2 linked regions of the Styela clava genome follow. The protein of the gene in region 2 interacts with the protein of the main gene of each other region in a pairwise test. Links are inferred from orthologs where the notes say so. Each region holds a gene or a part of one and is shown on either strand. Other genes may lie near its edges.

Region 1 (6,339 bases), on a different chromosome or scaffold from region 2:
CCCACATGTACTGTAATCAGTGCCAGCTTATTCATTTCTGTTGCCTCACAATGCAAACTCAAATGACATTTTGAATTCTGTGTTGCCATGTAGGTGCATTATTAATCTGATTATGTTGCATCGGTATCGATACGGTGTCCGCACATTTGATCTAACCTTTGCTCGTAACAAGTGTCGCTAATACCTCTCTAAAAATGTTTTATTACACATATCTTCATCAACCGCGAGAGCTGGCGAACTGACAGGCGACAGTAGATCATCTGAATTTCAAACACGATTTGAAATGAAAATATTTTGTCAATCTTTGATTGTGAACCCGCGATAACCCATATCGCTGTTAGTTACTACAGTACTTCAAGATATCTTCCGCCGCTGCTCTATTCACGGCGTCATCAACGCTTTGTAAATAAGCGGCACGTGACGACGACAAGAATACGTTTAAAACGCGCGCCACACTTTGAACGGCTGTTGTTAAAATTGGCGCCTTCACACTAAATAGGGTAACAAACAAGTAGATGGGTTTATACTAATGATAATATTTATTTCATTAAAAAGAAAACGTAACGACGATAATAACAAAAAACTACATTTTCAAGCATGATCAAAGAGAAAACAAAAAGGCCCTTACTAAAAGTGCGTTTATTTTGTTTTATAAACGGTGAGTCAAGCTGAAAAAATAGAGTTCTGTCAAAAAATCTGAATATGGAGTACACTCTGTGGAACTACTATACAAAAAAAGCTCAATGAGGTCAAGATTCACTTTGATCCTCATGGAAATTGATTGTTTACCATGCTCCAAAATGAACATGACAGAATATTCATCCCCCAAAACAGGATTACAATATAAAAAGTAAGCAGTGCGCCCGGTGCTTTTCCATTGGCTTCAACTCTTATAAGCATGTAACGCTATTGTAAAGTTCAAGTTTTATGTATATTGATTTATTTCTTGGATTTCTTCTGTCCGGTCTTTTTAGGAGTAGCTTTCTTTGCTTTCGCTTTCTTTTGTGGGGACTTGGTGGATTTTTTAGCGACCTTCTTTGCTGCGGGCTTTTTTGTCGTTTTCTTTGGCGTTTTTTTCGTGGTCTTTTTTGCAGTTTTTTTCTGTGTTGCGGCTTTCTTGGCGGCAGGTTTTTTCACTTTTGTTTTTGTGGTTGTTGTTTTCTTGGTTTTTAAAGCGGCTTTAGCTTTAATCGCTTTCTGTTTTTCTTTCTGAGTTCTCTCCAGTTGCTTATCCTTGTCTTTTTGCGCGTTACTCAGTTTGAACGATCCAGCAGCACCGTTGCCTTTTGTATTAGCCAGATATCCAGCTTTGATAAGACGGGCTACATTCTTACGAAATATAATTCTTTTGTCCTTAGGAAGGTTGTACTCTGCGGCAGCATATTTCCAACATTTCGCGAGAGAAGTCCCTCCTTTTGAAGAACCTTCATGTTTTACAGCTTTGATTACCATAACCTGGTAAGTAGGGTGATCCTGCGATTTGCTCGCCTTCTTGGTTTTTTGAGCAGACATTTTCAAGTTTTTAGTTTAAAATTAAATTTTCAGCAACCAAACGCGTACTTATCGCACAATATTCTCTCTCGAATGCGCATTGCCTTTGCGACAACCTTTTCTATATAATATATGACGTCACATCGAGTGCGCGGACGTCAACGGAACGGTAAATATTGCGAGAATTTGGCGCGAGAGAATTTCTTTCGTGATAATTTTGTGTTTGTCGGTTGTAGAAATACCAATATTTTTTAAAATGTATAATATATCTAAACTTCATTCGAGGACAAAACAATACCAGAGAGTCCATTGAACCCACTCTTCGTTTTTCGTAATTCTAAGTTTAGTAGAACGGCGTTAAATGGCTTGGTAAAATGAACATGTCTGAATAAAAGAATATAAAACTTCAATATTCTAATAAATGCTTCTAAAAATTTCATTTTCATCTTTGTTTCATAAAAAATGCTTTTACATACTAAAAATAGTATCGTTTGGTACTGCAAAATTTTCTTTAAAAAAAAAAATTTGGTTTCGTTAGTGCTTAAAATTGATTTGAAAAGTCAACATTCAAACACAATCTTTTCAAAAACCTAATATGTTGCTTGTTGCTTCGAATATGATTATATATTTTATCCCTTGATAAATATTTAAAAAAAGGTATTTTTCAGAATAAAATGAATATCTCATTCCTATTATTTTCAGAAATTAAACAAAGAACATACTTTAACGCGATATCCATTGTATTGTTAACTCTTAGTTACTTGAAGCAAATGGCGAAAATGACTTCACAAACGTGATTGAAAAGTGTTAGTTGTTCTTATTTGAACCGATAATTTTTTACGTATAAAATCTTATACTTCCATTTGAAATTAATGAAAATGATTTGTTCGGCCTATATTAAAACCGATTTCAGGGAAATTTTCGAATTTGATATGTTTTGCATTTAGTTAGCTTCTTTCCAGATAGACGAGGTGGGTGGGAGATAAAAGAATTTAAGTAAAAGTAAATGTGTGTGAAGTTTTAGGTGAGATTCTCGTGAATCACCCCCAAAATTTCATCTGTGATAATTTCAACTTGAAGAATTCTATTTTTAAATTATATCAAATTTTTCCATGAAGCAACAAACAGAATATATGAAAAAGATTTATTGGAAATGCTTCGCTGTGACAAAAGTGAGTTGTAATAGGCAAGCAAAGTTAGATAATCGTCAAACCAAGATAATATTACAATAGGTAAGATACTAATAGGCCACATTTTTAGCAAAGTCAAGAAAGTTAGATCTCAATTTCACTTGATTATCCTCCTGTCTTTTAAATAATTATATATTCTCCAGGTATGGGGTGTAGATACCGTGGGATATCAGTTTTCTTGGAGTTGTTCAACCGTGTACTTGATTTTACTCCAAATAAAAGCTAACCTTACAAATTTAACAAATGTCTTTGTTATTATTGACACTATTATTGTAGTATATGTCTACCCTGGTGCTGCTGTGTTAGGAATGCTCTCTGTCAATCTCCTAATCAATGATATTTTGTAAAAATCAATACTAATTTCAAAGTGGATATATGAATCGGATTTACACAGCCATATTACTTTTCTCACATGTGATGTAGTTATTAAATGGATACTATAGATGGATCGAATCCTGATACTTAACTGTAGTTGTAATAAAATTGACGAGAATTGCAAATGTTCGAACCCCAAAGCGAATAGCAATTTATTAAATAGAAATAAATAATAAAATGGCGCTCAATTTTGAGATATACAATTCACAAGTCTGATGTCAATATTTTCAAGATTATAACAACCAAACTCCTGCAGTGTACGCGATTATAATTCAAATTGGTTTGCTTATTGGTCAAATATAGGATTTTTTTTGATAGCTGTTGTAGATATATGTATATAGTAAGGGGTGTGGTGCGAGGGCAAATATTGCGACAAATATTTATATTTTCGTTCGTTTTTTAGTTTTTGATTTTGTTACTATTGCGGAATTCGTATTTAATTAAAAATGTAAGAATACATAATTTCTCAATTTATCATTTCTAATTGGTTTTTACATGAATAAATTTTACAGTAGTAGTATAAATGTATGAATAATAATAATGACGAAAAATCCTATTCGGTTGAGCTCTGATTGATAGGTAGTCGAAACTGGTAGTTAACGCCTAATAACTTATGTTAATTTTTTCGTGCGTCATTCCCCATTTGAAATCGTCTACGCTTTGCAAAAAAGCGCCATCCCGTGACCTAGACGAATAGACGTTGAGAAGGCGCGTTCATTATTACAAATTGGATAAAAATTCTGACATCAAGTATTTTTTCGAATAAAAAAAAGTGTGAAAGGTCACTAGATCGATCATGATCCAATGCATTAATATTTTCTCCATCGGTACATAAACGCGTTTATCGGCGGCGTCAAATTTATAAATTTTTAAACTTCAAAGAAGCATCATATATGTGATTTAGTTCGCTACGATGTTTGAATTTGCAAAATTTTGTTGAAAAACGTAACTGCCGTACATTTAAAATTTTGCAGTCAGTATACACTTTTCAAGACGATTATAGGAAAAGGTTCATTGAGCTAGAGCTATGGGAGTATTTTATAATGTGGCACTACATCCTTTGTGACGTAGACGCAAAACGGACAAAAAATACCCACATCGCTTTGTTTAAGGTGGGTAATGGCGGGCGAGGGCGATCTCTAAAGTCTAAAGACAAGAACTGGCAGCGCACCAGGGCTATGTGTGTTTCCCCGAAAGAATTATCCCTATACTTTACTATTGCAAAATTTATGCTTATTCTGAGAGTGTTTTGATGTGTTGGCGCATATAAACCGGTTTACATGTTTGAAACCATCATTTTTAATAAAAATTAATCAACCATGTGTCGTTTGCAGGTACTGATATAGCTAAGTTTAGCCTTGTCCATCGGAGCACTTGCGAGATTCATTTTTGATTGCTGCTGCAATTAAAGTAAAGCTCCGCGGAAGACTTAATGACAATTAAGTTTATCAATTCACAATTATTTTCTTGAAACACAACTGAAAACTGACGAATATCACTCAAAGCTACAACAACGAGGCAATGTTTGCAACTATGCTTGAATATCTGTTTGAGCGACAGAAGTGTCTTAGCGGCTGGGTGCAGAAATTGCAATTGTTATCTGTTGCGTCATTATTGACTTATTGCTGATTGCATGTTTACGGAAATAAACAAGGAAACTGATGCTTGGTGAAACATCCATAAACGCTGTTCAGCCAATACATACAGTAAGGAAGATAAAGCGTTAGCCAACTGAAAGGTTAATTGTTGCAATAATTCATATCTGCTCGCGTAGCACTTGAAAAGCTTCGCGTACTAGTGGTGCGCGTACCACAGGTTGAGAACCACTGAGCTAGAAAATATAAAATAGTTATAAACATTAATTAACAAGAGAGCTATGCTCAATTATATGAACACGTCACAAGTTTTTTTTATCTCGACACATAAAAGACGAATCTCCTGAAGTCCACAGAAATTTTTGAAATAAGTAATAGCCTTCTGGCTCAATCTTTAACCACTGAAAAAGCAATTGGTCCAGTATTCGAAGAAAAGAGAAAAGCGATTTTATCATGACGAAGGAGAAGAAAAACAAGTGCAGCAACATAATATTGAAACGATCGTTACGTACACTGACGTGTCCATTAACAACAATCATCACGATGAAATGGAAGCGTTGCAGGTTGGAATCTCAGGTTTAAATTCACTGCTGCCATCAATCAAGGATATAATAATTTGGGTAGACTCAAGCCTAACTTTCAGCCTTCAGAAAAAAACATGTTATCTTCAACATATCTAGGACCGCAAAACCCGGTTTCAAGGCATACTACCATATGACCGTAATCTCAAACTCTCGTTCCGAAGATTTTTTTGGTTAATACGACTCTATAATTATCAAACATATGTGAACTAGATGGGGGTGATATTTTTTTCATCAAAAAATATTTAAAGGGAATTTTCTACGCATTGATTTATTACGATGTACATATATTACGAATTATTTTAGAATTGCAAGCAATCACTTCCGATAGTTATATTACTTATTTGAGGATCCATAAATTGATATTTATATATAAAAATATACCAATAATATAAATTTATATCGACCATTTTGTTTCGATCTCCGGAAATACAGGCGTGTTAACAACATTAAGGTGTAACAACGAATTCAATACCTGGCCTATTAAATATATTTTAATGTGGCAGATTCGATAATTTGTCGTTAAACGTGTGTTATTTAGTTAATCGTTATGTCAAAGAGTGTTATCTTTCTAGTGGTAATTTGCTCTGGTATTATTTTTCTAAGTTTTATTTCTATTCGGGAAAGCATATTTAGGTCTATAGAAACAATAAAGACTACTCAGGTGTGCTATTCGTATTAATTTTTTTTTTGTCGAAACGTATTAATTACGACTACTCAGGTGTACTATTTATATCAATTTTATGAATTTACTAAACAAAAAATGACTTTTTCCGTGAACTTGGACATCAGGGAATGAGGCTCATCAAGGTTTCACCACGATAGTTTGCGAATTTCATTCGATTGGTTTGAAAAGAAGCCATGGTAATATAAATATAACGATGTTGCAAGACTTAAACGAATCGGTAACCGAAAAATTACTCGAAGATTTTTCAATTCAATGCTTTTTTGTCAATAACATTAATTATAAGAAATTAACATGTTTTCAGCTCGAAGATATATTTATTTTGGGTATAATGTCTCTTACTATAGCTATCATTGAGAGTTTGGGTTGACAAACAACACCTTATTGGGGTAACAAACAAGCATTAGTGCGTCTATCGTTAA
Region 2 (7,114 bases):
ATATTTTCTGTGGATCTATACAAGATCATTTTAAATTAGTCTGGTTCTTTGTGAGTTTGCCAATGCACATTTTGCCTCGTTTGTCATTAATAATATTGCAAAAAAATATAGGTGCCTTAGTATTACTACTTTATTATAAAATGTTTTGTATTCCTTGACCAATTTTTACTACCGTCCTATCATCTTGTACATACTTTTTTATATAAATGATAATGCTTCATTCAATTTCTGGCCATGTCCAAAAGTTTCTGTTCCTATTGAATATCATTATTAGCACCATTGGCTAAGTTTTGAAATCATGTAATTTGCCTTATATTGATTTTTTAATCTAACTTTTGTACAGAAGTGCTGCTCCATTTTGTTGCTTGCTCTATGTTAATTGTATGTTACTCATTCAGACTTAAGTCCAAACACTTGAATCATGCAAAATAGCACAGATAGCAGCGGTTACCATGACCAACAGATAACTGCTCAAATGCTAGCATCAATCAACTCACTGAGTAATCTAACAGTAGTAAGATATTTTCAAAAGATTGTACTGATCTATAGCTCCGCAATTTATTAGCTAATTGGCTTCAATTAATCTATGAAAGATGCACAGTATATATTCATGTTGGTGTAATCATTGTTCTTAGCTTATGCCTGAATTTTCATGACCAATAAATAAATGTGAGCAAGTAATGCTGGTATCAATTACATGTATACTCAAAATACGCCAGGGGCATTAAAAACTACAGACATGTTTGTTGGGGGCTCGTTCATCACACACATAAAATATTAGTCAAGTAAACTCTTTCATGAAGTTCAAAATGCAGCAGCTTTAGGCACTTGCTGATCAAAATCATAAGTACCAACACAAATTAAACGAACATATTGCTGCGATATGGTAGTTTATCAAGTTAATGGTGTAGTGGAAAGTCAACGAAGTTTTTCTCTCCGTAGAGTCTCGAAACAGAACAACAGAAACTCTGTTGTGATTTCGTTTTTGCTTCTATTTTTCTCGGAACTTCTCAAATATTTAATGTCTTATGCCCCTCGAACTCGATGGTTTTCCAGTATAAATGCACTGTCATTTATTTATACACGATGTCGGTGCAGTTCAACTCGGTGAAAATTTTACCTAGGTTCAGGAAAAACAATAGCAATACGTAGCCGTACGCGTACATGATTTGAATAAAAATATATCTGTCAATAGCATATGTACTAAAAATGATTACGTCTTCATGGACGTTTGTTGCGGGGACAACATCATAATTTTAAGCTGCAGACAGTGTTCCCTCTAAAGTGTGCGCGTGTGCGCGCGCACACAGCTTTCAGAGGTCGCGCACACGCATAGATTTACTGCGCACAGACATATTTCGATGTAATGTAACAATGTTCTCGGTTGGTAGGTTGAGAAAGTTTGTTGTTGGCCCACTTATTACCCGGTTAGAACGCCAAAATTTCTTCATTGATTTTTGCACAAATATAAGTCATTTCCAAAAGAGTGCGCACACACCAAAATTTCTGCGCACACATACTACAAAAAATTAGAGGGAACATTGGCTGCAGAGCAAATTTTCCCCCAGTAGGGCAATAAATTTGCTAATAATAGACAATAACACCACTCCGCTTTACACCCGAAATGGGCTATAAATTATCCCAGTATTGAAAAGAGCTCGATTTTGCAGCTATGTAACAAAATGAACCAATTTCTACTCTGATACTTGTCCACACAGCGTGCATAAATACGCTTTTGCAAATTTTTTGGTTGATGGAAAATGTACATTGCGATAGAAACGCTCGCGATATCCACGACTTTATATTGCTGGGTCGAGAGATCAATTGAATCGGTGCGATAAGATGCCGAAATTGATAACGATTGTCGTACTGGCCTTTTTCAGATAACATAACGGATATTTTTCTAAACGAGATTCAAATGTGCATAGGGCGAATTGATTCTTTGATAGATGATATTCCCGCCTCATTACAGACAATACAAATTCGATAAGAGAAAAATAGCATGTTGCGGAGACATGCACCTTTGATGTGTTTGCTGTACTCTTCTACCCTTGCTTGGAGTACCTTGTAATTATTTTTAGATGCTGATCAGCGACGCATGAGATTAGCTGAATGTCGATCCATATATACGCGTTTAAGCAAGTTGAACTAGGCTCGTGTGAAACTATTGCATAGACGCGGATAGATTTGAGTTGTTTTATATTTTTTATCATTCATCAAATTTTTCCCAGCTCCCATTAATTAATATTTATTCGGAAGTTTGAGAGTGCATAGAATCATTTATCACATTCCCAAGATTTGTTTTTTTAACTTAGGCTACACTTCGCTTTCACGCATTGTACAAAACTTCAAAAGTTCTATGCATTTCCATCATCTCCCCATTTTGACCAAACTTTGGTTATCCATTTCCGCGTCTTTTTAGAAAGATAACGTCATAGACTAGCAGCCGAAGGTTTTTTTGGGGGTATCACCCTGCATATCGTGTATCGCCGTAAAGATCTTGTCTCATTAGTCATAAATCATTGACATTGCAATAAATTAATCGCACGAGATTTCATAATGACTAACACCGATTAGACTGCATAAGCTATTGATGATGTTTATGTCTTAGGCTTCCAATACATTCGTTAACCTTGGAATTCACACTGTGAGGATTTAAAACAAATGTCCGACTTTCTGCACTGAACGCAAATTGGTCTGTTCTTCAAGGTGATGTGGTATTATATGACAACATAAACAGCAGGAAATTTCTCTGTCAACTTACGTGTTTCATGTAACACAAGTCTATTCTTTCCAGCGCATTTGAATTCCAGCGAAAAAAGTTTACGACGACTCCTTAATGCTGTTTGAATTATACTTATGCGTCATCGATTGTACGATTTCTTGGCGAAATAAAGAAGGTGCAATTTTTTCCTAAAATGTTACTGCTAAATATCACCTGTTTGTCAACAATAATACCATTTGAGGTAATTACATAATTACTAAAGCGAAGTAAAACAGAAGATTCGGTCATATTTTTTATTTTCATAAGTAATGAGTTAGTTTTTGTTTGCATGTAGTGTATGTTCATTTTGGTGAAAAACTACTGACTGACTATCGTACAAACTTTACTCTTCAAAGTTCAAACATGGCCAACTTCCGATCTACATCTGAAAATTTGCACCTACTCGTTTTTAAACTTGCCAAGACCGAAGTATTCATTTAAACATATTTATTGTAATCAACGATGCAAGTCGGATTATTTTTATAAACACCAAAGTCGATGGAAAATCTCCAAAAATGACATCATTTACGGTTTGCAGAGTCGCCTGTAGGCTAAGGCTAACTAATCTCATACCCATCATGGACCAAAACCCTGACGAGCGGCCATGTTTCGCCATAGGAATAGGTTGTTTTATCGACTTTTCTTTCTCCCGGGATAAATATGTATACCATATCCGATCCCAAATCCTCCTACCCCAACGACTAAATCCTGAATTTGCTCCCACTGTTAATTTTGTACGCCGCAAGAGGTCGCGTGCAGGATATTTGTCAAGCGACAAGCCCTTACGAAGGCGCGAAAACGCGAATTGGCGGGTTGTTGTCGGGGTGTCTGCGTTTGTTTTTTCGGCTTCGAATACGGGATGTTGGTGTTTATTTAAAACCTTTTCATATTATGACCCTGTATAGGCTACCAGACATGCGACAACCCATATATATTTCTGTATTTTTTTGTTATCCAGTTATCTGGATTTTATAAAGCATTGGTCACTATTGTTGTAACTTCGAATGGTGAAATTTAGGTACGGTACCGTAACTCTGCCTTTGGGTTAACTTATTGCAGTATGTCATAACTCTTGTTCCAACAAACGAAAAAAAAAATTTGTGAACGCGCAGATATTAAGGATTGGAATATCTGTCCGCCATATACCGAGACCACAAAAAATGACCTCATATTTCAGTATTTAGACAATGCAGGAACTGAGGAATGCGAGAACGGGAGAATTCGGGTTATGTAAGGGAGAGTGGGATTACAGATTTATTACAACCTGAACCTCGTAATGGTGTTACAAGACACAATAAAATTTTGACTTTAAATTTTACAGTGAAAAATATCAGATAAAGAAAATAGTCCAAGATAGAACTTCATTAAACACTTCTTTCTTTGTTCGCATATCAACCAAATTTCGAGTATGGTATAGGCAGATAGGAACTACTGAACTAGGTAAAACACCGACCCCAGTACGGCACAGTTAAAAAATACCAGGAAATTCTCGATATTTGAATATTAACTATTACTGTATTATAAAGATAAATACAAACCCTTTTACAGTAGAGCACAGTTTTCTGATTCCAAAATGTCCCAATATTTGGTTCAATAAAACAAACACTTTATTTGTTTGAATTGCATTTTTTTGCTGAAAGCTCTTGAATGCGTTAAAATATTTTTTTTTTTCGTGTAACAGATTCTTTTTTCCACGGAACTCAACTGTGACGTTTTAAAATAGCTCTTTCTTTTAGTTTATTTTGCAGTGCCGATCAATGTAGAGGCCCAGACTGTCTCGTAAAGGAGGGTTTGCACTAACTGTTATAACTGATATCTTTTTATTTGGGGACTGGAATCAAAGAGCTGTGCTGTGCTGCTTTCAGTACTGCAGTAGGAGACAGTCTGACTGTGCTGCCCCCATGCCCCTCCAAGTTCTTTCCTTTGCATTTTACATTTTTTTGCTAAAAGTTTTTTGTCAGCATATCAAACACCCTCGTTTCCCTTTCAAATAGAATGGTTTTTTATATATTAAATATCGGGACATCATCTCATTATCTGTTTCACTTCTTTATATTTTGCCACATTTTTAAATGTTCCTAATGTTATTTTTTGTAGTGAATTTTTCAACATTTTGATGCCGTTGTCTTTTTCATGATGACAAATTCCAACAAAGAAGAAGAAGAGCATTCAATTGCTTCTGAGGCATCGGAAGTTGTGAAGACTGACAAGATGCCTCTAAAGAAAATCAAGCCAAACAGTGAAATGGACTTGTTCCCTGTTGTTCCTGTTCTTTTTGTTCAAGAATCATTGATATTAGAAGCGGCTAAAAAAGGACTAACTGTTTCATCAAAATACGCAGTACCAAGCAAATACAAAAAGAGAATGGCCTCTACTTATGCAAATTGTGCTTGGTTTTATTCTGGTAAAGCAGTAAAAAAAGTTGAAAACAATAAAGACAAAAATCCTAAAAGAGTTTACAAAGTTGCAAAACGAAGACTACCTCCATCCAGAAAATTATTACTGACTGCTCATCAAACTAGCGCATTAAAAATGAGAAAACCAAACAATATGTATGAAGTGGAATATATTGCAGACATTCGAATAGTGAAAGTATGTTTTTAAACATTACGAAACTGAAAAAAATTTATTTTCAGAAAACATTCTTTTATTTGCGATATTTGTTAGTTTTCATTCAAATACTATTGAATATTGCTTCAAACTATGATTCAATATCAACTTAAAGAGCACATATTTCTTTATAATATTTTCAAACAAGATTTTTCAAAATTTCAGTATTTGCCCTCTTCTCTCAAACCTTTGTATTGCTATTAGATCTTTTGCTTACAATATTCTCGCAAATACACAATTGGCAAGAGTCATCAGAGTGACATATGGTGAGGACATCAACAAGTATTGTATATATTTTCTATATTCAATGTTTTGTTTTTAGAATCAGAGATATTATTTAGTGAAGTGGGTTGGATGGCCAGAAGAAGCAAATACTTGGGAATCATCTGTCAATCTAAGTTGTCATTGTCTAATCAAAGAATTTCATGAAGATTATGATTCACAACTGAATAGTTTTTTTACGAAGGAAAACCTTTCATGGCATAAAGTGAGAGAACAGGCATATTTGTTTTACTGATGATAGTCTTGACTTCATTGAATAACAATGTTGATTCGACCAAACAATTTTAGCTTGTTTTTTTGATTCAACAATTACATTCTTGTAAAACTGAGTAGTCATTCAGTCTCTAATCTTGTTTCGTGTTTGAATGAAAGCTTCAGAAATATGATACAAGTTTGTATTGCATTTTGTTCCACAGTACCTATTCTAAGCCATATGTTTTATAATGAAGAAATGCTTCCATTTAATGAATTTTGGAAACAGCTATGGTAATCTTTCACTAGTAATAGTGGATCTTGCCCACTTAATGACTGGAAGCTCAAATTAATATTTTTGTAACTCTGCTCGACTTTGATGAACAGTCTTTGAATACTTCATCCTTCAATAGGCGACAATCTTACTAGCAATTTATACTAAGAAGGTATTTGAAGAATGTGTCAGACTCAAACCGTTGTATATATTTTAATTTCTAGTGTCAATTGTCGATAATGCCAATTTCTCAAACTTTTTCTTATTGATTGATGTTATAAGCGATTCATTTCTGTATTCTTTCTATCACTGTTTCAGTTACTGCTGGGAAGGAATGGAATCCACCAAAACACATGTACACAACGACTCTTCAATGCAATTCCAAAATCATTTAAATATCTATCAACATATGGTAGGAAAAAATCAGAACTTCGAAACCAATTAAAGGCTTGGCAAGATGTTGTCAATGAATCTTCACAGGGCCTTCCATATGTGGTTGTGGAAAATGAAGTCAATATGGAGGTTTGATTGATTTCTTACTCAAATATAGTCAAAAGATAATGGGAGCATCTATGATCAGTGATAAGGGGTGAGAAACTTTCTCACATTCATAAATTGGTTTCAGATCTGACACGATTGCTATCAAAACAAATAAACTCCCTTTCATAAGCAAACGGGATGATGGGATGATTAAAGATTACGCCTGACAAAAATGTCTTCAAATATTAAAAAACAAGTTGAAAATCACTGAGCCATCTCATTGAAAAAAAATCATGGGCTATGATTAGTCTACTTGTTTAATTGATTTATAATTAATTTTACTACATAGCCTGTTAGGGGACGATGATGGAGTATAGGGTGCTGTAAGGCATAGGTTCTCAAAGTGCTCCGCACGGAGCCCCAGGGCTCCGCGAGAGAAACCTAGGGGCTCCGCGAGCTATTCGATCACTTTTCAAAATACTGACTTGGCTAATTTTGTAACTGTTCAAAGG

What was found.
Region 1: the proteins of histone-lysine N-methyltransferase SUV39H2-like (region 2) and uncharacterized protein LOC120327991 interact in binary tests that used the Drosophila melanogaster proteins (3 or more experiments, as listed by UniProt). The link is inferred for Styela clava from reciprocal best matches to the Drosophila melanogaster genes Su(var)3-9 and His1:CG31617.

The regions. Positions count from the first base shown.
Region 1 is NC_135256.1:12,943,404-12,949,742, reverse strand, and holds uncharacterized protein LOC120327991, read right to left. Parts: upstream 1,593-6,339; 5' UTR 1,513-1,592; coding exon 940-1,512; 3' UTR 521-939; downstream 1-520. Other genes in the region: galactose-3-O-sulfotransferase 3-like, read left to right, coding at 5,783-5,896. UniProt on the Drosophila melanogaster protein: Histones H1 are necessary for the condensation of nucleosome chains into higher-order structures.
Region 2 is NC_135258.1:20,715,320-20,722,433, reverse strand, and holds the start of histone-lysine N-methyltransferase SUV39H2-like, read left to right. Parts: upstream 1-4,097; 5' UTR 4,098-4,204; intron 4,205-4,861; 5' UTR 4,862-4,897; coding exon 4,898-5,356; intron 5,357-5,696; coding exon 5,697-5,861; intron 5,862-6,440; coding exon 6,441-6,644; intron 6,645-7,114. UniProt on the Drosophila melanogaster protein: Histone methyltransferase that specifically trimethylates 'Lys-9' of histone H3 using monomethylated H3 'Lys-9' as substrate.